Linked DNA regions of Saccharomyces cerevisiae S288C. The protein of the gene in region 1 interacts with the protein of each later gene in a pairwise test. Each region holds a gene or a part of one and is shown on either strand. Other genes may lie near its edges.

The links. Proteins that work in one complex are often made in the same cells at the same time.
Region 2: the proteins of NOP19 (region 1) and DHR2 interact in binary tests that used the Saccharomyces cerevisiae proteins (3 or more experiments, as listed by UniProt).

What each region holds. Positions count from the first base shown.
Region 1 is NC_001139.9:994,002-996,792, reverse strand, and holds NOP19 (Nop19p), read right to left. Parts: upstream 1,155-2,791; coding exon 564-1,154; downstream 1-563.
Region 2 is NC_001143.9:286,853-291,572, reverse strand, and holds DHR2 (RNA helicase), read right to left. Parts: upstream 2,729-4,720; coding exon 521-2,728; downstream 1-520. Other genes in the region: PSG1 (Psg1p), read right to left, coding at 1-120; SMY1 (Smy1p), read right to left, coding at 3,000-4,720. UniProt on the Saccharomyces cerevisiae protein: Probable ATP-binding RNA helicase. Required for 18S rRNA synthesis.

The sequences.
Region 1 (2,791 bases):
TTATTTATTGCTTAATCAAACATTTACGCAGTATAATTGTTTAGGTTTGAAAAATCCATAAACGTATATAATGATACATATAGCTTCAAAAAACTGAAAGTAGAGAGAGTTGTAAGAATATATGAATATCCAACTATAAAAAATCTTGCGTAAGAATTTCAATAGTCGATATATTGTTTAGGTCCAAACACTTAAATATGCCTGTTTAACACGCGTTTGTAAAGTTCTAATTAATTCTTTTCCATACAGCGCACTACATGTCTTATTTTTTTTGTCTTTGCTCTCGAGTATTGAAAAGGATTGCGAAAAAAGCAAATAGTGGCTGGTCAAAAATTCTAGTGGAGCATTAAGCCTACTGAGGAAGGATCTGCATTGCTACATCTCATTTAATGTTATTCTAGCAACGTTAACGTACTCAGTACTTGCAGTATGCAATAATTGCCTTGGCTAGAATTCTCTTCTGTACGTATTCATTTGTTGACAAGCAAACATCATTACGCCCTACATAAAACAACAGACGAGGGAAGAAAGACGCATTTTTTGCTGCCCATAAGTGTTTAAGATTATTTACGTGCCTTCTTTTTTTTATCAAAAAGTAAACCAAATTTTTTTTTTGTGGACTTTTGCGGCATTGTCCCTGCATCTTCATCCTCTTCATCACTGGCACTATATGAGTTCGAAACGCTGCTTTTGCTATGCTCTTGTTTCTTCCTTAGTCCTTCCTTCTCGCCTTTCCTCATTTTTCTTTTAAGCGCAATCATGGCTTTCGTATCATCTTTAGTGATCCTGTACATATTATTTCGTTGCAACCCTGGGTCACTTCTTTTCTTTTTCTTTGCCAACGAACTTACCTTTTTATCACCCTCAATAAACTCACCAATCGTATGTATATCTTCTTTGGCGGAAGCGTCATCTTGTGTGCGGAAGTGTAGGCCCGATCCAATCTGCAAAACGGGAAGCTTGAAAAATGCCTTCTTACCATCCTCCAACTCCTTGTGATCTTTTAACTGTTTGTTACGCTCTGTATCATTGCTAATGCCGGTTTCATCTGATTCTTTCAGCCAGTCCAAAACTGCAGCAGTATTGTTACTGAAAGTAGACTGGAGTTTCGCTTGCAAGTTGAGCTTCTCTTGTAATTCTTTGGCCCTACTCATTCTGAACACTACCGAGGAAAGATAATACGGTATACTGTATCAACTGTAGATGTGAGAAGAGGATTTGTTTCAACATCTTATAAATCTTGAAATCTTTTTTATGCGTTAGTTTTTCCAATCTCATCGCTAGAAATTGCCCGCGTCGCAGGTCAATTACAGGCCGTCAAGAAGAAACAGCGGCCACTACGGTTACTTCCAATGCCTTTAAAGCAGGATCAAACATGCAATCATTATTGTCTTACTAAAAGGTTGATACATACATACTGTAACTAAAGCTGACGTTAGGAAATAAATATCTAAAACAAATGACAGCTATCGAACAGGCCAATTTAAGACGATTTTAGGTAAAAAAAATCCGGACCAAAGTGGCACGGCTTCTTTGTGTAAATGCCTTCCACTATTTTATTCAAGAGGTTGTAGGAAATGCCTCTCTTCAGATCTTCCAAACAATAACATTACATAACTGAACAGTGAAGGAGCATTCTGGTTTACTGTAAAAGTCTCCTCCTTGTCCCTCCTTGTTTTCCAATTAAGAAACTTTGTAGCGTCTAATTCATTGTAGTCCTGGTTCCTTGGCTTCGATCTTCTTTCAAAATACCAAAGCTTTTTTGAAAGGCAGTGTCTTAAAGATACTACGAATGTGGCTGCGTATCATATATGTATATGTATATATACAATTATATTCTATGTTTGAAAAGGTCGTTTTTCGTTCAGAACACTCGTATATCTTCGGCGGTTAGAAAAGATAGTGAAACTAAAGGAGGAGACTATAGAGACACTGCATTGTATTGAATAAACAAACAAGGCGACGACTCACTATTACAAAGTATTTTCATGGATGCAGCCCTAAATAAACCGTTGTATCTTATATCATTACGCTCAATAATCGTTAATGAAGAAGAAGGGCGGCTATTTTCGTAAATTACACTACAAACTTCAATTACATACGCAATTCTTGTCACATGCCAATGAGCACTATATCATATGCTACAAGCTCACATACACAAGGGTTATGTTTCCTTAGCGGCATATTTTTGAAAGTCAAAAAATGTGTACAACAGAGAGAAAGAGGAGGGCCGCAACAGCTTGAAGACAACAGATGAGAGCCAAGTTCGTATGTGGATTACGTCCGAAGGAATTGAACTTCCCAAGAGTAATGTGTACGGGACTGATCGAAATTCTCTCTTTTTCCTTAGAGCGTCTTTCTGCAGATCGCCACTACTATTCCTAGCGGAAGAAACAAAAGAACGAAAAAAAAAACACTAGCCTATGCAAAGGGGAATATAATCATATGGGAATACAAGGATTGTAGTACTTGCATATTGTTCCGGCCCAACCCATTTCAAGATCCAACTACTTCATGGTAGGAAGCACAGTTTTTACATTCCCGAGAAGCAGCGCCCGCTTATTGCCCCGATAGAAGCAAAAACACCGCAACTCGTGGTTACGGGGTAAGAAACCGAAAATTATTTAATCATCTACGGGGCTACGCTTTTACATAATCTCTAGAGTATTCTAGAGAATTGAGATGATTTATGTCTTTTCCCGGCTAACATGCAAGTAGAATGCGGATAAGCCTCATGGAGCGTGGTTGATTAATCGACACTCTCGGTATTCTCTTGTGTACGTACGATGTT
Region 2 (4,720 bases), on another chromosome or scaffold:
TTTAACTTCTTCTGAAGTAGTCATTTTCTCCTTTGGACGAACGACTTGTCTTGCACCATGAACATGTTGATAAAGCGATGCCAAAGAAAAGAAGATAAGTATACTATCGTGAAATCTCATTATTCCGCAATTCCTTCAGATCCCGCAGAACTGCTTCCGACTATATTGTCTTAACCTTTTTGCTAAAATATTTTGTTCTTCAAAAGTAAAGAATAGCTTGCTGAGAGAAATGCGTCGAATTGCCTTTCTTATTTTTTTCATGATCTTTTATTCCTTTTCAAAATGTCAACGGCAAAATAATATAATTTCGCCCTTTTCCCGAGATAATTTCACAAAAAAAGCCAACGAACAATTCGAAAGGCGTTTAACATGAATATACATATATACCTGTGTATATTCATAAGATATTGAGAAATGAATCCATGAAACTCATACTGCAGTAGTTGTTACGATTTATAATGCTCTATAAATTACATTAAATGCCTTTATATACAATAAAAATGCGCTAAGAGTAGGTGACTTATTTTGAATCAGAAACTTTTTGCTTTGCTACAGCGGCTGCATTAGTGACAACTTCTTGTAACCATGAAAGTTCAATCCTACTAACATTTCTGGCATATCCCTTCGTAGTAAAGACATACTCCGTGTACATTATACCGGGGCAGCTTTTATTCATAAATAGCATAGATGATGGATGAATGCTTATCGGCTCTCCAGTGGAAACAGTTCTATAAGACCTGTCTGGCATCCCTATAGCTGTATTCTTGATAAACCCAGTTAAGAAACACTTTAAAATTTTCGAAATTAGCTCGCCATCTTCACCAATCTTTTTGGATTCTTCATCCTCTTCACTGATTGAAGAAAACAAACGCTTACAATAAACTCTTAACTGGTCTCTGACACGAATTACATTTTTAAACCCACGTATCGAAATACACAATCCTTTACACCAATCATTTCTTTCAGAGCTTGCATCTTGACTTTTCCCTAGTTCGTAGAAATAGATATCAAAAAGCTCTTTCAGCATGATAAGGTCACCATACCTTTTACCAGCGTTGCATAAGGACAAACGACGCTCGTTCACCTCATCTCTTTCTTCTGGTGACGGATTCAACAGTAAATTTTCCACACTAAGGCAAGAGACGATATCAATGACCTGACTCAAACATCCGACTTCACTGGCTTTAATTAAGACACTACTTAAATGCGGTTGTAGCGGTAACAGAGCCATTTGTTGACCCCGTTTAGTTATCTTTCCACGAGTGTCAAGAGCACCCAATTCATAAAGTTCCTGAAGCCCCATTACTATAGCTTCCTTTCCAGGGTTCTCAAACCAGGTCCAGTTTAGCAGGTCATCAACACCATATCTCTTCAACATTAACACAGGAGATGTGACGTCACTTCTGGCTATTTCAGGTTCACTTTGTTTAGGTAATTTCACATAATCAGACTCACAATAAAGCCTGAAACTCTTTCCTTCACTTTCTCTACCAGCACGACCACTTCTCTGCATCGCACTTGCCTGAGAAATGGGTACGGTAAGTAGAGTGGCTAATCCCAGCTGATGTCTCCAAACTTTGACTTTTCGAAGACCAGAATCAACGACAAATTTAACACCGGATATGGTAACAGATGTTTCTGCAATATTGGTACTAAAGACGACTTTTCTCTTGAAACCCTTTATCGGAGCGAAGACCAAGGACTGTTGGACCGCGGGAAGAGCTGCATATAAAGGATAAGGAACTATTAATGGTACTGGGGCCTCATCTGAAACATACTTTGCAATTTTCTCCATTATAGTCACTGCTTTGTCAATCTCTTCTTGGCCCGGTAAAAAACATAAGATATCTCCCAGTTCTTCACCTTGGTTTATTTGTATACAACACCTGATGACAGCGTCTACTATATCATCTGTTGGCGCCTTCAAGTAGTATTGTTTGACATCAAATTTTCTTCCTTCTACAAATAAGATTGGGGCATTATTGAAGAACTCACTAAATTTTTCGGCTTGCAATGTTGCAGACATAACAATTATTCTCAAATCAGGTCTTGGCCCTTGTATCAAGGATTTTAAGAACCCCAATATCAAATCTGTAAGCACAGTTCTTTCATGCGCTTCATCGATAACGATGACGCTGTATTCTCTAAGGTCACTATTCATCATAAGTTCTCTAAGTAACATACCGTCAGTCAGATACTTAAGTCTTGTTCTTGTAGTAGTCGTATTGTCAAATCTGACAGAATAACCTACTTGTTCACCCAGTTTGCAACCATGTTCTTGAGCAACACGTGTAGCCAAATTGATGGCCGCAACACGACGGGGTTGAGTTACAGCAATCGACCCATGCTTCTTCGTATCATATAATTTTTCTAATACGAATTGCGGAATTTGTGTTGATTTACCAGAACCTGTTTCACCAATAAGGACGGTAACGGGATTGCTTTCAATATATGACATTATTTCTCGCTTGTGTTGGTAAACGGGAAGTGTTTCTCTCATTTTGAGTAAATCGCTTGCCCGACTTTTCAAAGATTTATAAGTAAGGACATTTTCCTTGTTCGAACGTTGGTCTGAAACATGGTCGCCCTCGCCTGAATCATTAAACTTTACGATTTTACTAGCTCTTTTAATCCGAGTGTTATTCGTGAATGGATGTATATTCCTCCTAACCTTTTGTTTTTTAGAAGTATGGTTTGATGCAACTCTACTATTGCTATTTGCTGCCATGATAATGTCTGCAGACTCTTGCAACCTCTTCTTGAGGAATTCTTACATATATATCATAACCTCATCTCATCTCATCGAGCAGAATTTTTTATTTTCAATTTTTCTCATTTTTCCAAATCATTGTAAACGAATAGCCGCCGAAGAAAAACGGTAGAAGAAAAGTACATCTTTCAGTCAGCATTATACGTACAAATTATTAGCGTTATCATCATGATTATAATTACAAAGATACTACACAGTTGTATCGTACAATTATCGAACTTAATTATAGTCAGCTTCCAGAAGAGGGACTTTTTGGAGTACTCGAAGTGACTTTTATCGAATGGAGGTTTAATCCCTTCTTGAACGGTCTTGCCACAAAAGACTCCTGTGATCCAGTGGTTGCTATACTGCTAGAAGAAACCTTTCTCGCGCCCCATACTAAAGGTTTTGAGGAAGTATTGGCTGACCAAGGGCTATTTGATATTTCAGAACCCTCCTCGATATGCAACATAGTATTTCCTGATGACGAGCTCATAGACCCTCTTCTAGGAGATGGGATTGCAGATTTATTAAGAGAAAGCTCTTTGACAGAACTTTCCAAAGATTTTATCCTTTCACTGCGTGTTTCAGTAAGTTTAGTGTGAGTTTCTAGTTCACCCTTTAAGATGGCGTTAGTAGTTAAAAGCTCTTGAATCTCTCTTTCCTGAAGCTGAATTTGTTCTAGTAGCCTAACGTTCATAGACTCTAAGGCTTCCTCTTTTGACTTTTTGTATTCTAACTCTTGCTGCAACTTAGAATTGGAATTCATCTGTCGATCAAAAGATAACTCAAGCTGAGCAATCTGTTCGCATCTTTTCGTTAATATTTCAGAAACTTCTTCGTCAATACGATTGTTAGGATCTTCATTGGTAGAACTACTCAATAATTGGGTAATACTGTCTAATTGAAGCTTTAGTTTGATATTTTCTTTCTTTGTATTTTCTAACATTTTTTTCTCGTCGTCTTCGGGAAGAGATTTATTGTGAAGGCTTTTTAAAGAGTCTATTTCAGCCTTTAGTATATTAATTTGGGCAACATAATTATCATCCTTAATTTTCATGTCCTGAATAAATAGATCCATTTTTTTTTTCAGATTTAAACCTGTGGTGTTATCTGTAACCTTGTTATTGATCTGTCTAATACTGTCACCAAATTCTAGTGTTGATAGGGTAGTTGGAACATTACTTAAGAAACATGTCAATATCACCTTTGTTTTCCTATTTCCCCCAAGGGAATCTTTTAACACTTCAGTTAATTGCGATTCACGGTAAGCAGAACTATGTGATCCTTTTGCGCTGTAGGCTGAATCACGCTCTTTCATTGACAAGGACCGCACAGTGTTTTTCAACGCCTCAATAGATTGGTTTAATTTTTTTAACGCATCTTGTGATAGCGTACTTTCAGTTCTTTTATCGAACTTCTCTGCCCCGTGTAAATCAACCAGATATAAAGAACTATTTTTTAATATATCATCTTTTCTATTCCTTTGTTCTACGTGTAATTGAAAAACTAGGTGTGATCTTGATCTCTCTGTCTTGTCGCCACATGCCATCCTATTGCCGACGTTTTGGACTGCCTGAATGTAGCTTCTTAAGTCTTCATACGATCCGACATGTGCCGGACAAATATCTTTGATTTCTAAGTCCATTTTGCTTGAAGAACGGTGAAGCTTTAATGGTTTTCTTTCAGGTAAAGGTACCAATAAGTCATACGTTTTCTCCATATATATTTCGAATGCCAAAACACTTACGCTAAAACTATCTCCCTTTGTTTCTTCATTTTTTTCTAGCGTATCAAACAAGGTCTTGCATATGTTCGGTAGAATTCCTTCGCTTTCTTTTGATCCAATAAGGGAATAGGACTTTCCGCTGAAACTTGGTCCATATGTTATTACAGTACCGTTATAACCATTCAAAACATCATTTATTATTGGATGCACCAGAAATTTCTGAACATCTTCTTGAGTGGCGT